Linked DNA regions of Drosophila melanogaster. Changing the gene in region 1 together with any one later gene gives a genetic interaction. Each region holds a gene or a part of one and is shown in the gene's direction. Other genes may lie near its edges.

The links.
Region 2: of PlexA (region 1) and trol, changing one enhances a phenotype caused by changing the other (phenotypic enhancement), as found in Drosophila melanogaster (one study listed by BioGRID).
Region 3: of PlexA (region 1) and Mical, changing one suppresses a phenotype caused by changing the other (phenotypic suppression), as found in Drosophila melanogaster (one study listed by BioGRID).

Annotation. Positions count from the first base shown.
Region 1 is NC_004353.4:1,023,231-1,029,918, reverse strand, and holds the start of PlexA (plexin A), read left to right. Parts: upstream 1-2,817; 5' UTR 2,818-2,956; exon of another isoform or gene 2,957-3,149; intron 3,150-3,383; exon of another isoform or gene 3,384-3,703; intron 3,704-6,238; 5' UTR 6,239-6,447; coding exon 6,448-6,688. Other genes in the region: mitochondrial inner membrane protein MPV17, read left to right, coding at 670-1,176.
Region 2 is NC_004354.4:2,541,207-2,547,600, reverse strand, and holds the start of trol (terribly reduced optic lobes), read left to right. Parts: upstream 1-2,173; 5' UTR 2,174-2,218; intron 2,219-2,692; exon of another isoform or gene 2,693-2,838; 5' UTR 2,839-2,977; coding exon 2,978-3,136; intron 3,137-6,394.
Region 3 is NT_033777.3:10,038,100-10,044,766, reverse strand, and holds the start of Mical (molecule interacting with CasL), read left to right. Parts: upstream 1-1,871; 5' UTR 1,872-1,975; intron 1,976-2,768; exon of another isoform or gene 2,769-2,795; intron 2,796-6,667. Other genes in the region: CG11722 (uncharacterized protein), read left to right, coding at 13-140; CG3909 (uncharacterized protein), read right to left, coding at 190-463, 518-705, 763-1,001, 1,073-1,364, 1,418-1,420. UniProt on the Drosophila melanogaster protein: Monooxygenase that promotes depolymerization of F-actin by mediating oxidation of specific methionine residues on actin.

The DNA of each region.
Region 1 (6,688 bases):
AGTAATTGCACAAGAAGGCTTAAAAAAGTCGAATGGAAACCATTAAGAATTAGAGTTTACTTAAGATAAATTCACATACTTACGTAATTAAATAAAAATATGTAACGATTTGGATTATAGATTATCACATATAAGCTGCATAAATTAATGTAGTCATTTAATAACGAAATAAAATTGCACTTTGTCAAGGCGTGTTCACAGCACTATGAACAGCTGACGTTAATATCAGTACCTTAATAGTTGCGGAGAAAGAGCGGTGGTTAAAGTTAAGATTTATATTTAAAAGAATATTAAGAATACGCGTTGCGCATGTTCCGAAAGAGATTTCTGTGCTAAAACAGTTCGATACTTAAAACGTTTAAGTTATTTTACATTACATTACATTAAATTGCATATTGAACGCAATTTAACGTTTTCTCATTCGGCATGTAACAATTAAAAGGACTCACGCGCGTTAAAAAGTTGAATACGCTAGCATAATTTAATTTAAATAATTATTCAGAGTTGCCAATTTTTGTCACTTCAGCAATTGACACCAATCACTTTGCGATTATTAGGCAACCCTTTAAAACTACACGAACAACAGCAAATCGATTTCTCAGTTGTGTTTTAATTGCGTATTTAAAACAATTTGGATCGGGCTATGAATGGAACTGATCTCTGATAAGGATGAAGAGACTTAAAGCGTACCTAAAGGATGGCATCAATGTGGCGGCGGTAATGTGTCTGGGCGATACTATATCCCAGTTCTTTTTTGATAAGAAATCGTTGGACGAATGGGATGCGGGGCGAACCCTCCGTTTCGGCATCGTTGGACTGGTGTTCGTTGGCCCAACTTTGCGCCGGTGGTACCATTTTTTGGAGTCCCGGGTTCCCAAAACCTACTCGCCAATGCGGCGGGGCGTTACCAAAATGCTGGTCGACCAGACCCTTTTTGCGCCACCCTTTACCATGGCCATGTCTTTTTTGGTGCCACTCTCCAACGGAGAGCCCATCGACCGAATCCGGCAGCGCATTCTTGATAGCTACCTATCTATATTGGTCCGCAACTATATGCTCTGGCCGGCCGCACAGATGCTAAACTTCAGATTCGTGCCGCTGGGCTACCAGGTGCTCTACGCCCAGTTCATCGCCCTCGTATGGAACTGCTACCTCTCCATGATACTTAATAGCTAGGGCACTAAGTTCCCCGCATAAGTAATACGGTGCCTGTGTATCAAATTTAACAAATACATTATTATCCTTATCTCGACATGTGACTTCGGACTGGATTTGGTTGTCGTTTTTTTAGGGGTATTCGGCGGAAAGGCTGTACATATAGAATGGAATTTATAGTATACATGTATTATAGGCACTCGAGTTTTAATCCTACAAAGCACTTCAAAAAATTTTGCTTGAAATCTTATTTCCCTCCGTTATTAGTCGGTTGGGCATGTGCTTCTCAAAATATTTACTCGATCATTTAAATTTGAATTGGATAAGCAAGATTGTATCATAACGACGTCACGCCCAATCTAACGCCCACAATTTCTGTGGGCGTTGTGTTGTTATTTTGTTTTCATTTAATTATCTGTCATGATATTGACATACCACAAAAATTTTGCCACACCCAAACTGTTATGCCCACTCTTAAGAATTATTTTTCGATTTTATTTTATAAATTCTCTTGGCTGTTTCTATCGATTTGCCAAACGTATTTTAGCCACGCCCACTGTTCCCACTATCTGAATAACGGGTAAACCTTTTATTTCTGACATTTTAAGGCAGATTGTGGGAGGTAGGGTTAAACAACAAACGTTCTGCAACAATCTTGAAAAATGTGGCGTCACTTGAATCTACATGCTCTGAGCTCTCTAGAGTTCATAGTTCCGAAAATATCAATTCTCCATAAGTTTGTTCCTTTCTACATTTCTATTTTACGATTTAGGGGAATAAACTTTTGAAAAGTGCGTCAACGGTATCTTCTGACAGTTTCCCACAAGTTGTTGATATCCTGTTGTTTAACGTGAGATAGACGATTTATGGATAGAATTTACCTTAGTAGCGCCAAAAATACCGCAAACTGCGCACGCACGAAGCTGAGAATGTAAGCAGCCAATAGTGGAATACACTTCATGTGTACATGTGCAAATAAACACCCTGCAATTCAATTCATTTAACTTTTATCTATATGTCATTTCTTAGAAAAAATCTCTATTGCTAATCAGCCCTCAAAACAGTGAAATTATTGATTATTTTTTTTTCTTACTAACTAACTAAGTCTCTAACTACATGGTCATAACAACAATGCTTTAAATCAGATGTGTAAATATGCACATCTGCAGTCGGTGTCAGTTGAAGATATTTCAATAGGTCATAAAATGTGCACAAAGGCCAACAAAAAAAAGTTGTGCCATGAAATTTTAAATAACAAAATTATGCTTTGATACAGTTTGCGCACATATTTGCTGTGGATTGAGGAGCTGTTAGCATGAAATTCTTAAGTCCAATTTTTCAATTTACATTTTCATTGTGAACAGACCTTTATAGTCTCATCACACTATCGATATTAAAGAAAACGAATATATTAAATATATTTATTTCATTTTTTAATAATGCTCAAGGAAATTAGAGAGATAATAAATATTATCTGGCTTGGGAATCAAACCCCTTCCAAATTACTTTCGTACGAGTCATTACACAGTAACAACAAGACATTTTCCATGTACTCGTGAACATTACATTTTGAAGTGTGCCATCGGTTAATTTAGGTATCGATAGTGATAGGTATGAACGGGTCTTAGGACTAACAACTAGTTGTTTAATTCTCTCCTCTGCCTTATAGTATCGATAACATTTACATACAATGATGTGTAAATTAAAGTGTGGTGTAATTCGAAAATAGACAGAAATTATGTTCAGTGACTTGCGATGTAAAGAAATAATAGTTAATGAGTGAAATATAGGAAAACAAACAGTAAGCCGGATTTCCGATTGTTCACTAGAAAACTATCGCCGTTCCATAATTCAGATATACATACAAAATTGTCATTTTTTGCTAAATATTAAAAAAAGTGTAATAAAATCATTTAACGTTCCAGTGTATATTGCATTGCTTTAGAATTATTAAGAAAATACAAATTTTCTTTAACTGGTATACAACGTTGTATGTATGTAAAAATTAAAAACGGCCATGCAATCATTTTGTTTTATGTACTTAAGTATATATTATATTTATGTAAATAGTATTTTTAAAAAGTGTGGCTCTTATTTAAATACATTGTTAGCTGCGTTTCACACATACGAAATTAAATGCATCATGCATTGGGAAAGATAGCAGCAAAATAAAATTTGCTGTATATGATGTGCATGTGTATGCATATAAATATATACATTTTGTATAGATGTGTGTGCACCAGAATATCCCAAAAATTCCAAATGCAAAAGATCGAGTTTTACTTCTCTCAATAATCTTTGCCTAAAAACATTTAAACTAAGTGCACTTACATTTTACCGGTTTATTATATGTATTTAAATTCGGGCGCTGGCCAAATTTGTATGTATGTATGTGCAGTATGCATATATGCATTTGCAATGAAATTACCAAATATTGTGCACGCTCGCCCAAATTTGAAATCCTGGAATAGCCGTGAATATACTTTAAAACTACATAAATTCTCTATAACGAAATGGCTTGGAATAAGTGGCCTGAGTGCGAATATATGTAAGTGGAAAAAAATTGAACGTTTGGAACTGAATTTGTTCAAAGTTTTACAATTAATGTGTTAGGTAGAGGAAATTTTTTATTGCAAAAACGAGATATGCTTATATAGCATACATAGGAAACTCCTTAGCTTGGGATTTCCATTCCATTAATATTTATAGCATGATATGGATTCATGTTTAATATATATGTACAGTTGCGGTCAACATATTAGCGGCAGTAGCGGAATATATTTTGGTCGGTTATAGTCCTATTCGGAGACAGTAAATGGTAGAGCACGTTGGTTCATGAATTATGCTTTGGGTGAGATTTTCATATTAAGGAGTTGAGCCAGTATATCTGAAGCTCCATCTTCAGTTCCGTCACCGGGTTCTTGCTTTGCCGAACCAAGCGCTTGGATGCTTGGAGAGCATCCAAGTTGGACATTGAAGGCTTTCCTCGCCGCGTTTCGTTCTTTTCGACAAACAGCAGTGATTTGCGGATCATTTTGTTTGAACAACCGACAATGCGACCAATTTCAGCGTAGGTTTTACCTTCAGAGATCACGTTTTTAATCAAATTTCTTTTTTCGACGGTACAATGCTTTCCGTGACCCATGACTAGAGAATTTTTGGTCTTCGTTTGGAGCAAATTCAATTAAAACCTTTAATGCAACACCTTTTTTTCAAAATTTGTCGTAAAAAAAACCAAAGCAATCACTCCCATTAATTTTATTCAGCAAATACGTTTTCAGTGCTATTTTTGTTACCGCCTCATTTCGCGCACTTTTGCAGCAAGTGCCCAAAAACAAAAAGAACCGTTAAATTGAGAGACTAAAAATTTATTGCTCAAAGAGGCAACATATGGTACTTATTATTCATGCAATCTGGCTTAAAAAAAAAAAAATTTATAATTTTTTTTAGGATATCAATTTTCCACCTGCAGTAGTGCTATTATTTTAACCTTAACTGTAGTTTCAAAACTATTTGTACGACATCATTTTAAACTATGCGATAAACTACCCATGTTTCAGGGAAGTACACTTACAGCCAACCCACAGTTTTTGTTTTGACGTGATTAAATTTTTAAACTGAGTTTTTTTGGCTGTGAAGATTTTCAAAATTACGATTTATTGGGTGTTCACGAAATACATTTATAATCTATATGTAACAGCATTTCAATGTTTGGTGATCCACACAAATAGAATTCGAAAGAATACTATAGTCGAGTTCCCCGACTCAGATACCCGTAACTCAGCTAGTGTGAATGCGAACGCGAAATTGCTTTATTTTTCTGGGATATCAATATTAAGGAATAAAATGAGAAAAAATTTAAAATTTGTTTTAAAATGTGAGCGTGGCAGTTTTGCGCGGTTTTAGGGCGTTAGAGTGGGCGTGGCAACATAGGTTAACAAACTTTCGCTCCGTATTTGTCTTTAGAATCTGTATGCTGAATCTCAACCTTTTAGCTGATATATACAGCTGTGTTCATAAAAATAGCAGTGCTTGGGACTTGCGAGTTTAGGATAAAAAATCATATGATTTAAAGTTGTAATGGGAATTTTTTTCATAATTTTATTATTATATCAAACAATTCAACATATGTTTCACTTTTATTTTTTCAATAGATATAGATTAAAACAACATAATAGGCAGAAATTCTGGTGTTCACTGAAATAGCAGTGATATGAAAAAATAGTAACAACATGACTTAGAACTAACATAGTTTTTTTTTAATGTGTTAATTAGGGACTAATACCTGGTTGGATTGCCTTTTTTAGCCAGCACAGCCTTACACCTACTCGGCATGGAGTCCACGAGGACGTTTGGGGGAATTTTTGCCCATGCATCCTGCACAACTTGCCAAAGCTGAATCTTGGACATCGGGGAATTCTTCGACACGTATTGTTTAATGTCCCCCCACAGGTTTTCAATCGGGTTTAAATCGGATGATGGTGCTTGCCACGGCATTGCATCTATTCTATTTTGGGTGAACTTATTCTTAGCCGATTTGCTTCTGCGTTTCGGATCATTATCCTATTGGAATGTCCATTATAAGGGCATATTCCATTCAGCATATGGCAGTAAAACATCACTAGGTATATTTACATACCATTAATCATATGTATGGGACCCACACCGTTGTATGAAAAACAGGCCCATACCATATTTATGTCCACCGTGCTTAACATTCTTGAGTGTGTGGCTTGGGTTGTACTCGGTCTTTGGAGGTCGTTGGACATACTGTCGTGAACCAGTTCCAGTTCATATTTTTGACTCATCAGTCCAAAGGATATTAAGCCATTTGGAGACTGGACAGTTTCTGTAGGTTTTAGCGAAGTTTAACCTTGCGTTCATTCGTACATGGCCAGATCGACTCGGCTATTGATCCTGATCAAGAATATATTTTCTTTATATGGTCGGAAACGCCTACTTCTGCCAGTTAAATAATTATCAACGAATCTAGTATACCCTTTACTCTACGAGTAACGGGTATATATATATATATATATATATATATATATATATATAACTACTTTCCTTATTGTTTTTTCAGGTTTACATGATGGTCATACAAGTTATTGCTCCAAGTTAAATTATCTTGAATGGAACGGATAATAAAAATTGCAAGAATGACACCAACGCAAAGGAAATTTTAATATTTACGTAAAATTTCAAATAAATAAGGGACATACAAGCGCCTACAAGTAACAATTTCATAAATAAGGTAGCTTTGATAGTCCTGTTTAAGGAGCGATTGTGGAGATGAATTTTGTTCTTAGTGTGTTGTTAATAGCAATTCTTAAAGATAAGTATGATTACTGGCTGCCATCGAGGACAGGTTGTCAAACCCTGGCAGCAAATATATGGTCTGACAAGACGACTGCGCAAAATGAGCCGATAAATTTGACTAATGCAAATGCACCGATAAAGAATGCAAAGAATCTGAATTCTACGATTACAAATGTAGCTGCGTTTGACACCAAATTGAATCACCTATTAGTGG
Region 2 (6,394 bases), on another chromosome or scaffold:
AAATGGGACAGGGATATCTTCATTGTTGTCAAAAGGATATATGGACAAATGGAAAATAACCCTTAAATCTATTATTAAGCACTTCAAAAAAATGTCATTTTCTGGATTGTCCGTGTGGCCACATTTGACAACCAATTTGACAAGTAGATGAGATCCTGTAAGTCACCTATTTCATAAACTCTTAATGTGTGATTAAATTGAAACAGCTTGTTCTTTAATAATTGAATTTTATTCAGTTAAAAACTTATACTTTTGGTGGCAAACGCTTTAGGAAAGCTTTTTTGTTGACTTGGCTAAAAGCTTTTGTGCAATGGCTCTCAAACTGTAGCTAGCTTTCGATTGCAAATGTGGCTAACAGAATCGTGTACTCACCACTCGACGACTGTGGTGAGTTCGGTAAATTAAAAATATTTTTTTTTTTTTTTTGTTTTTTGGTTTTTCTCACCGTTGATAACCTTTATAGGTTACGGACTTAGGTTGATAATTCTAATTGTTTCAGCACTTGCTCCAATTTTGATGTGATAACATTTGACTCCCTAAATTGAATGAAATGCTCGAGAGTGCACACATGTCTAAATATTAAATGATTTGAGCAGTTGAAAAAACAAGTGCTACGAAAGTCGAACAGATGTCATTGCTTTTCAATTGAAGAAAATATGTTCAAGAATCGCACTGCGACCAATAAAACATTGAAATGAATTTGTGCACAATTTTACTAAAATTTATAATGTTATCTTATCACTAATTTATAAACTTAACACCTAGGCAAAGCTCAATATTAAGCACGTATTTGTGTATTTGGTGTCTATCTAGCTAATTTCTCCAAGTGTATACAGACCATTGCCATTATTTTCAATAGCGTATTCAACAATTTTCTGCGTGTATTTTTAGTACCTTTTCTTATCTGCGAACGGAAGCTGTGGCCACTTGTGAGCGTTCACCATTTAAATATTAAATATATTTTACATTAGCAAAGGCGAAAAAGGGGAGGAACAGGGAAACGAACCTGAGGAATGGGCCAATTATTCCAGGAGATGGGGCCCTAAAAAATCGCAACGTGTCCATTGGTCCTCCATGTGGGGCGTCGGCATCCAAGTCCGGTAATTCACCCTCACGCATGCGTCATTTTCGGATGTCATTGGGTCAGGCGCCAATGGGAAGCCGCCTTTTTGGTGGTGTTGACAGGGGGGGGGGGGGTGGTGGCTAAATCGGCTGAAGGTCACGGATTGTGGCCGGTCCTATGGCCAGTTGACAAACCGACTTAACCGCCAAAGCCGACGAGCCCGAAATGCTAATATCACATGGATGTCCGTCCTGCCAAACTTGTATTGTGTTGAATATTTAAAATAGTGCTTTGCATCAATTTTAGACCGATGACTGCACATTTAAGATGATTTGCTCACATGGTTGTATGTATGTTTTAGGTGCGCCAAGAATTAATTGTCCATAAACACTAATATTCGTAGGAACAGCGAGTAAAGGCTATAAAGTTCGTGTTTCAAATACGTTTTCACTGGTGTTTGGCTTTCCTACGCGAATTGCATCAGCATTTTATTGGACTCTCCTTTTTTTTTGAGTGTCAAATTCAAAGAACTTCAATAAAAAAATGTGCGAGGAGAGCGCCGCTTTTCGTGGGAGTGAGTGGGATAATTTGCAAACCGGCTGCCGCAGCAACAACGAAAGGTGAAAAGAGAGCAAGGAGCAACGGTTTTCACTTGTTTATCAGTTGACCCAGAGAGCGAGAGCCACTTGGGCGGGTGTTGAGTAAAAAAAAATGGGGGAGGGGGGGCTTACTATCCAACTAAAGTGATAGTTACTTTTTTTTTTCTATCGTTACGGCCTTAAATGCTGCTTTAGCCGACTGGCTAAATCGCGACTACGCTCCGCAAATAAGGATGGACAGGCAGAGCGAGAGGAGAGAGAGCAGGCGCAGCTAACTCTGCGTAAGCGGACACCCACGCATGTGAGCGAGAGAGGGATAGAGGGAGAGGGTAAGGGAGAGAGAGAGTGCGGTGCATCGACGCAACAGGCTTGCAATGGCCATTAAGCGCCGTTAAACAATAACAAGAGCACGCAAATCGCTTCGGCTCCGTCGCGCTTTCGGCCTTCGTGCGTCTTCGGGCGACGCCGGCAGAGCAGAGGCAGCGATGGGAATCGCAGCAACGGTTCTTAGACATTAGGTTGCGCGCCATCGTTCCAGGCGGTCGCACATTCCACGGTGTGCTGTCCCTTTGTTTTCTGTGTGACTCTGACTCTCTTGTGGGGAGCGTTTGTCTTTTTTTTTTTTTGAGTGCTCTCACATCCTCGAAGTGCCGAAATTTTGAAAATCCCCGACAAGATATCCTGGTGATATCGGTTCAACGTTTAAACAAAAACCCAAGCCCTGCTCCTTTTTTTTCATTCATTAACTAGTGTGATCCCAAAAAGGAACCCATACTCGCAACGAATACGAATAGTGTCCATCGCGTGTGAAACGAAACTAAAGAATAAGGAATGAAACAAGAAAATAAAGCGAAAAGGCGGAAAAGCGAACAGAAAGAGGGGAAACAAATATCGGCTCGTCCAGGAGCGAACAGATGATCAAAGGGGATCATTCGGATTTTTCGAAGAAACTTCTGAAACATGACGGTTTCTCTGGTTTTTAATTCGGATTTGGTTTCACCAAAGCCAAAAAATTTTGCTGATGTCAAATCACCGATTTGCTTCCCCTTTTTCCGTGCGCGGAGAAAAAAATCCCCAGAAACATAATATCAGGATGCTCTCTATCTCTGTCTCTGTCTAACGCTTAATTGTTGCTCAATTGCGAATTAATGTCTGGGGCTTTTTTTCTCCGTGCAGTGCCATAGCCGTAACCACAACCTGCCAGCCGTTTAAAGCCAAACTAAACAAAACGAACCGAAACTGCCTTCACAAAGTACCTAAGCCAAACCTAAATAGCTGCCAAAAGAAACCAAAACCGCCGTTACCCGGAAAAGAGATGATGGGATCGCCGGGATCCCAAGCGTCCGCGATCGCGACCTCGGTCGGAATCAGAAGCGGGCGGAGAGGTCAAGCGGGAGGATCGTTGCTCCTGCGCCTCCTTGCCGTGACCTTCGTCCTCGCCGCCTGCCACGCACCGCTGCTGACCAATGCCAAGGTGAGTTCGACCCTCTTGTTGGGATATGTAGTATTATAATTATTACATTGCTATTTGAGGCCCAGGAATGCAGTTAACAATTTGATTAGTTCTATTCGGTGACATGATCCTAACAGCCGCTTACCATTCACATGACCATTGCCCATCAGCTGATGCACATCCCATTCGAGATCGGTAACCCAATGATCTCTTATTCCGGATGACACAACTCTGGGTTCCGCGACGAACTTGAACTATTTAGCATGACACACATACGAGTATTGTTTTTTTTTCCCAATAGGCGGGACAGACAGACACAAAACGAGCGCCACCAGTGATTAGCATAAAAATGTATTTATTGTAAGTGGTTTGGAAAATAGTTTTCCTCCACTCGCCATCAAATTAGGAAGTTGAGCCGGGCTTCGAGGCTTCAGGGTTTCGGAGCTCGGTTACGGACAATGTTAAGGACCGGATTTCGAGTTGAGCAGAGGCCAAAAAAATAGATCACCAAGTCCATTGGGCCGGGGTCATCATCGCAGGTTATCACTCTCTCGAAAAAACAGACGCTGAATTAATTTCTTTTCACAAATTCGGATCGAGTTCAGATGCTGGCTTTTGAATTTGATGCGATTGTGTTCGGATGGCTTTGCCAATTATTATGAGAAGTCGATTGTTTCAGTTCCAAATTCTATCTTTGTGCCTGAAGGAGGGAGGGGTCGCTGTGTGTGTGTGTGCGAGTGTGTGTGTGTATGTTTTCCACCATAATGAGCTTTGATGATAGCGCGTTATCAGCGTGTTAATGACATGTTGCCCACAGACATTTGCTTGCAATGAAATAATTTCTTTAATTAACATTTAAAATCACTGAACGTTTGTGAATGTTTCAATGGCTTTTGTGAACGGACGGCAGTACCTGCTGGACAATTCTGGTACTCTGCTTGATTTTGTCGAGCATGTCGTTTCCATTCGATTTGTTTTGCTGCAGCGCTCACACTTTTTATCACATCGGAAGTTGCGTAAATGAGGCCAAATTCGAACACATGTACACATACATACATACGGGGGCTATGTCGCCTGCTCAGGGCTTATCGGTGGGACTGGGACTGGGAGTGGGACGGGAATGGGAGCCACACTTTGAAGAAGGAACCACTGCAAATCGGACTGCAAACGAGGTCACTGCTGCAGCACGATAGCTCCATCCTCCGCTTTTGCCCATCCGGCGTATGCGTATTGCCGGTCATCGGACATTGCGCATACGATCAGGTGGCACGGTGCCCCTTGGGGCATTCGATATCGTTTATCTTGGGTTTTATTCGTTTTTAAATTGATAGCTGAACTTGACTGAAAAGCACATATGCTAGCTATCAATAATCAGTTTAAACACCATACGTTATGTCACCATTCCTTTCTTTTTGGCAAACTGTGCAACTCGCCACTGATTCCATAGTGTTTCTTGAAAGTCTGAAGCGCAAAGTACAACTCACTGCATATGGCAACTTCTGATGCTTCAAACTGATATTCGCCTGGCAAGCGAATTGTGCTGCTCTGTTTACATCGACAGATGGGTCCTCATTCGATGGCCCTTTTCCGGCTTTCCAAGGGTATCCGATCCCTCACCCCCCACCCTTCTTGGCCCTTGGCTTGTATATCGCTCATCACATCACGCCCCGTTGTGTGCCCCGATATCTGTCAAACAAACTGTCAAAATATTTGCATCATCAACAACACAACTGCAAAGCGAATAAGAAAAAAAAAAAAAAAAAAATTAAAGCACAAAACGGCAGCCAACAGATGAGAAAATATCATTTCGCAGCTTTTTTGACTCGCCCGTATCGTTTTGGTTTCTTTTTCAGCTTTTCGGATTATGTTTTCTTTGTTTTTCATTGGTCTGAAGATGCGTTCGTTGGCACATTCCCTTCGGTTTTCAGTTCTCCTTGTTTTTCGGTTTTCTGGTTTTCTTGTTTCCGTGGCTTCACGGTTTCTGTTTGTTTGTGCAACATATGGACACAAGATGTTGTACCCCCGATCACACATGTGACCGGCTGCTTGGCTGCCTGGCTGTTTGTGTATCTGCCTCATTCTGCTGGCCTTATTGAATCGCTGGGAAATGGCCTTTAAGTTGAAAAGGCGTGGATCAGTTGATTTCAATATAAGCTAATACCTTCAATCAAGTTTCACTTGCCGAATAAAATGTTTTTTTTTTTTTTTTTTTGCAAGTAAAATATGTAACATTTGTATATAGCCCAACCTCTTTTCCTGTGTACCGAAAACATTCGCACAGCGATCACATGCAGTTTCACGGGAAGCGTCATGCGAGCATTTGTTTAAATATTACGCTGGGGCTGTCTAATACACCAACCCACCAACCCTACACCCCCCCTCACCCACTTGAGCTCAAGTTCAGACATTGACCAAGGGGCGGGGACTCGATAAGGAGGCGGGGCCGCGGGGGCAGAGACAACTGGCACACTTAAAACTGTTTATGCGAGATGTGCGAGGTGCGAGGTGCGAGTGAAGTGTCTGGCTCGCTTTTCCCTTCCTATTTGTGGAACTGTATATGAAACGCTGATTGGCGATATCGCCGAGTGTTGGCTTTGTCAAATTGGCATTGCCAGATGCCAGGCTTCCATTGCCATTAGTCACTGGGGCAGCCGCATTTGACCTGGTCGGGAGGGATCCTTAGATGCCCAGACCGGGCGATTCATTTCTGCGGATCCGGAATCTATTTTCCCTGGCTGACGTATGCATTTCTGTAAGGAAAGAACTGGTGGAATCTGGGAGTCAATGGGGAGAGGCAAGGCTATGAGGCAAGCATTTAAAAATAGATGGCGACAAGATACCAGAGACGAAAGTTTTCGATTCGAGGCGGAGCATTAAAGTTGGGAACTCGGAGTGGCTAAATCGGCCAATACCCTATAATGCAACGCGACAAAATGATGCATCGCAACACGTAGATAAGCCGAATTTTCTTGTCTTGTGAAATGCAATTAGAACGTGTTTTTTATTGCACATGTGGAATTGATTACTAATTGAAAATCAACACCTATTCTGTTGTGATACACCTGATACACCAACTGATGTTCTTTAGAGTTCATTCCACCCTCGAATATTTCGCCACAAAAATGCGAACAGGGATCCGCTGAGGTATTTGCCTCATAGACTAAACATTGAAAAATAACTCCAAAGTGTAGGGTAAACCAATTTCTCAGCCTGACTTTTCATTTCTCACTTCGCAGTCCCCAACCAACTATTGTAATTTAATATTTGCATGGCGCGTCT
Region 3 (6,667 bases), on another chromosome or scaffold:
TTCCCTTTTTAGAAAACATACTGCACTACTTTAAAACTTTTAATATGTACATACCCGACCAGAAGTACAAAGACACGATGCTAACTCAAGCCACGCAGCCCCTTCTGCGGGTTAAATCGAGCTCGGAGGGTAATCCGTAAATAAATCATTCTTGTTCTTTGTTTTAAACCTACGCTCTATTGTATGAAATCAAACAATGGCATTGGGCGGACAGTAGTATATGTTCAGGGACTTGTCCTCAGAAGCAGAGGCCACCTTGTCGTTTCCGGGGCTATATCGGACGCCCCACACCTGATCTGTGTGCTCGGCGAACGTGTGCAGGCACTTGCGTTCCGAGGTGTCCCATATTTTCACGCTGTTATCACTGGAGGAGCTGGCAAAGTGTTTGCCGTCCTCGGAGAATGCCACGCACAGCACCCAAGATGCGTGCCCAGATAGGGTGCCCACAACGTCGGAGTGGGTTCTAAAACGAGGAGATAGTAGTGCCTGAAAATGTCATAGGTGTTAAGCCACTTACACATCATAAAGCTTCATGTGACCATCATCTGAGGCAGTGAGCAGCAGCTGCGAGTTCGGAGAAAAGCAAAGGCTACGCACTGGCATCGCGTGTCCTTCCAATGTTTGCACTACCTTGCCCGCGGCCACATCGAAAATGGTAATGATACCATCGATGGCTCCACTGGCAATGTACTTGCCATCGGGACTCTAGAATAATACAGCTATAGGATTCTCAAAATGGGTTATTTACCAGATAAAGCTTACGTAGGCAATGCTAAGCGTGTATTTCCCATTTTGGGCATCCAATGTCTGCTCTGCCTTTCCGGTTTCCACACTGTACATGGAGATTTTGCCGTCGTTCAGTCCGGATATCACATATTTGTTGCAGGGTGAAAATTGCACCGTCCAGAGATCAACAGGCCCAAAGCTAAGTAGGTGTTTCTTGTCGCCCGAACGGGCATCCCACAAACACATGGTGGAGTCCAGAGAACTACTGGCAATGGCTGGAAGGAAGGCGGCACCATTAATTGATGTCCATTTCTCTATCTCCCAAGTACAGAATCTTTCAACCTACTCTGTCCATCGGAACTGACGGCCACAGAAACAACTCCCAGGGCATGTCCTTTTAGTTTGTGGCGCAACTTTAGGGTGTTGTCCTCCTGCAAGTCCCACACCTTTACCAAGTCATCCAGTCCGCCGGTGACCAAGAAATCCTTCGGGCGGGCCTCCTTCTTATCGAAATCAAAGGGATTCTCCTCGGGCTCCACGACCGCGTCATCCGGATCTGAGGCCGCAGTGTCGCGTCCCCAGGTGCACGCCCATAGCTGACTGTCGTGCGCATTTTCCTCTTTATGAAGGACAGAAAACTAGCGGAAAAAAGGGATGTATAAAAGGCACAGTTCGTTAAATATCTACTTACCATTTTAAAATGCCGGAAAAGTGTTTATTTTATGCGAACGAGAGCGATCAGCAAATTAGCTGTTATCGATAACAATGGTTGACGTTAGAATTAGTATTGAAAAGGGAGGTTTACAGTGGGTCAAAACTGTTATGCTGAATATGTTTCAATGTGAATAAATTAAACATGGAATTCTTTATATAAATGAAAGAAATAAAGAAGTATAAAACAAATTGACGTTTTTAAAATTTTTTCACAGGTAATATTATATATAACAAAATAATATTTTACTTTATTATATCTTTATTATACTTATTTAGGTAAAAAGCTTAGTTTTTAAGTAAACATGTTATATATTAAATTATTTGAATTGCTATTTATTGTTTTGGTATATTTGCCCATATGGCACACGGCATAATACCACTTTCCCGCCATGGTCACACCATCGGCTTATAGTTGCACTCCCGGCGCGGCCACACTGTTTATAGCCGTCGAGAACCGAGGAACGAACGTCGCGTTTTAAAAAACAAATCCCCAAACGACTCGGACGCGAGATCCAAGCGACTGGCGAGGAAAAGTGTAAGTGACGGGTGCAATTACGTGCCCCACGGTGCAGCCATGCCCGGATCTACCAGTGCGGTTATATAATGCGGATATAGTTATAGTTCTTAGCCCCTCGCGATACGATATCAAAAACAAAGGAACGAATAGGACCAACGCGTGTGTTCTGCTTTTCAGTTTTCGGTTCGTTTTCGATTTTTTTTCATTTTGCTGTCGTCGCCGCCGTGAATTCGAATATGTATGATTTTCTTCTATGGATCCGCGTGTCTGGAATATATTAATAAACATAAACAGTGAAGCCTCGTTCGTTCGTGTGTGTGGGGGCGGGTGTGCGTGAGCGTGAGTGCGAGTGTGTGTGTGGTTGTGCATCAGCATATTATTTATCTCACATATCATATCTTTCGACAAAATCGAAAAGATTCGAATGATTCATTCTTGTGGCAGCAGGACTCGCCGATTTGTGCACTAAACCGAAATGAAAGGCATATAGTTTTGCTGCACTTTCCATGTGTTTTTCGTGGTGTGTTTGTTTTATTGATTCCCACTTTCCCGTTCCCCGTTCTCCGTTTTCCGCCCAGTTTCCACTTCTTCCCCTCCGTACAACATTCATATTCGCGCCTGCCCCCACAACTTCGTTTCCGATTTGGTGTAAACAATAACGGCAACCGGTTTTCGCGTGCAACTTTATCTCCCTAATATCGCCATTCCTCTTATTCTTCTTCTCTTCCTCTGCTCACTTTTGTTTCGATTATAATCGCAATTTGCCGTTTTCAAAATGATATATGCAAACCCTTTCGAATAAATCAAACAGTTCCAACTGAATTTGTAAATTATCAAGGTGAGTCGCCAGCCGGGGATCAATAATGCTATATTATAAGATGAAGTGGAAGATTTGCATGTTTATGTAATCTTATCGGTATTTTATGTTAATTTTCTCACACATGTTGGGATTCATATATCTTAAGAGAGGTGTATTCATTTCATAAAACATTCTTTACTTGAGATTTGGTATATGAAAGTTAGTTATTCGTTTATTTTAACAATACTACAGGCAAACGATGTCTTCTAGGGTATGAAATGGTCCTATAGAAAGAAAGGTAGTTAGGTAGTAGTAGTGACGCTTAAAGATCCGTAAAGTTAAATGACTCTAAATCCCACAGCTTTGCTCCACTTCCATTCGTAATTCCAAAGCAAACCCATCACGGTTGCTCTTAGCCTTCGCACTAATGTGACTGGAGGATAAGAATAAATGTTTGCCCTTAAGAGGTGCTCAAAAGGCGTCAAAAAAAAAAAAAATAATAATAAGAATGGAAAAACTAGACCATAAACATAAATGCATTTCACAGCTGCCATTAGTGCACAACTTTTCACAATCGGCGAGAAAAACCAGCGCAAAAACCAAGTACGACAAAATGGAAATCCAGGGCATGCAAAAAGAAAATGAAACAGTGGCAAACTGCGGAAAAAGCCAAAGCCCAGGCGCAATGCACTCGGAAAATGGATGGAAAACCAACAAAGTTATTAGTTGAGGTGGGAATACCGCGGTTCCAAGATCGCGGGGAAATGCGAAGTCAAGTGTGGAAAAGCGCTCGCTGGGAAAAGCGTGACATAGTCAAAAGCAATGGGGGCGAAATTGGAGCAATTTGAGTCTGTGCAATGTGACATCATTGTAAGGGGCGTGACGGAGGGCGTGGCAGCAGCCGACAATGACAAGTGCCGAAGTTTTCCAAAAACAAAAGAAAGTCAAACAAGAAAGCAGGGAACATTATTGTCAAGTAAGCGAAAAGATTTGACATATTAGCCATGACATTATTTTAAAGAAATTCAGTAAATTACATGAAATATCTATCAAAGTAGATAATCAAATGATTGTTTTGAGATTATATACAGTGCTTAGTACATGAAGATAAAATAAGAATAAAATGATATATAGTGCTATTTGTAAACCCATTGTACGGGTTGAACTCTATGGAAATTACCAAGAGAGTCGCAATCACGAACATCCTCTGATAAGAATATAGCTGGAATAATCGCCATTCGTTGAACCCCCCAGTCACAAGAGCAATATATAGGAGCATTGACTTTTAAGATCGCGTTCTGATGTCGGTGCAATTTTCTTTACACCAATCAAGGCAGCCCAGAAAATGAAAATGTGATGGCGTCAAGTCATGACATTGCACTGGCAAAAGCACAAGAACAATGGGAAAGTACTCACCATTTGGATTCCAGTGGAAGAGCCAAACTTTTTGCTTGACTGAATAAATATTTCTGGTCCGATCTTTGGCATGGCCAAAAGTGTATTTAAATCCAGAGATAAGATAATAGGTGGAGCATTGCTATTTATAATAATCAACGCTGGGCTCTTTTATCACTTTCGAAGGTTGGAATGTTATTTTAAGCCTCAGCCTCGAGAAAAACACCTAATTTGGGCCCTAATTGGGGCCTCGTTTTTGTTGTTTTTTTTTTTCCCCCTTTTACTAAATATGTGGGATCAGAAAAATATAAATAATATGTATCTGTGTGCTAAATTTATTTAAATATTCTGCAATTAGCCAATCTATCATGAACTTAAAGTAAGGAATAGTTCCAATTAGAAAGTATAGATTACTTTCACATATTTTAACTGCTGTCACTCCTGTAAAACACTCCCATTTTTGTGCCCCCTTAAACCTTTGACTTTTGTTTGTGGAATGCCATAAAGTGCACTCTTTATGACCGCAATGCGTTTGCAACTGCAAGTGGAAGGCAGGGTCTTCGGTTCCTCATTTTGAGAAGCACTTGAAAAGCCATTAAACATTGCTCCAAACCCGACTCGAGTAGAATCCCCGTATCTGCCTTTCTTCCCCCAATTAACCCATAAATGGGAAATTGATATCGTTCAATGTTTTGCGTTGTGACAGTGATAAAATATCAGCCGAATTAGATAAACTTACGGTCAAGGACAAGTATCTTTTACACTCGTACTTCTATGTATTTGAAGTTTTTTCTTCAAGTTGAAAAGCGACAGAGTTAAGTTTTTCATCGCCAATGTGATTTCTTTTTTCTTTTTGGCATATGCCATTTGGGTTTTTGTTGGCCTTTCACATGATAGGCTTTTGTGTGCTATTTATCGCATTTTTATCGCCACTTTAATAACATATGCCATTCGGTCGGGAAAAATGGGTTTGTTGGGGAGTTTTGGGGCGTCAATTAGCTGTCGTCTGGGCCGGGCACTTTCACAATTTATCAAAAATACATCAAATACACACTGTTCGTTTTCAATTTCATGCTTTTTGTTGTCTGAGCTTTTCTTTCGCTCCGTCTCTTTTTTATTTTCATTTTATTTCACTTTAGAGGTGACAGGAGTTTCTTTATTAATTAAAAACGCGACAGACATCGCCGTCATCGCCGTGATGACCATGACCCAAGTGAATGAGCTCCTTTGTTGCGATGGCTGTTGTTTTTCGCTTTGTTATTTGTGCATTTTTCCATTGCAAAAGTTCGCTGATCCGGTGAATAAGATTCTGCTCTTGTCTATAATTCAGTTGAGACAACTAAGCACATACAACATGCTACTTTTGTTACGCCCGCCTTTGTGCCGGTGTGTTTGGGTTTTTAATTTGAGCCTCGATTTTCCAGTTTTACAGCCAGTGAGGCATTAACTTTGCTCATTTAGCCACTCGGTTTATTCACTCAGCCACTCACCCGTTCGCTTAGCTTCAGTCATCTATCCATCTATCGTTTAATCGGCCCTTCTGCCTTCTAGACCAAGTTTAGTTTAGGAGCCGGTTTGCGAGCTCTTAATATGATTAAGTTTTTACGCTTCGACAGCTTCTAGCACGGCTCACCTACCTTCGCTATATGTTTTCATACATATATACATAGGGGTTTGTTAGAAGCACCTACATTTGTTTACAAAACTGCACTTCATTTCCGAACTAGAAGTTTTCAATTTTCAAAGAAACCTAACTGGGAATGGGGCAAGCATTGGGGATTATCCCGAGTAATATAACTCCGTGGGGGTGTTTTATATCCACGAGTTCTTCGAATTTCGTGTCCTAATTCAATGTTATCTTTAGTACTTAATAGCAAGTTGAAACCAGATGCAAGTTAAAGTAATTCATATCTCAAAATACGCTATGGTATAAAGTTGAAGTTTACCATTAGTGCTTTATGTAATCAACTTTTGTGTTTCTATTTTTCTTGGGAAAACTGCAAGTGGTTTATTGACTAAACACCATTCGCGATTTATTGATTTGAATCGCCATGCAAACACCCCATTGCACTGGTTTCCCGTCTCTCAATTGAAATCATCCAAACAAATTGCATTTGCATGCTCGATTCCCCCGGAGTCAAAGCGAAGGCCAATTAATGGCAGTGAACAATACAATTTTCAATGAAAATTCAAAGTGCTGACAGGCGACAATGTTTGATCGCATCTGAAGGTCGTGGAATTGGCCAATGAACATAATATAAACAGATATTTCTAAATGGAGCCTCATGTCAGTGGCACTCTCAGAAATTCGACATTTCGCCCGGATGTGCCACCGTCTAAAATAAAAGCACCAATGTTCTGTGAACTTCTCGTTGTTTACAGATAAATTTGGGTATATTTATTTGTGCACCTTTTAAGTAATATATAGGTGGTAGAGAACCACATGAGTCAGTCTCCTTAATTATTTAAAAGAGTCAGGCATCGAAAGATGACGTATTTTGGCCATTGCCGAGATC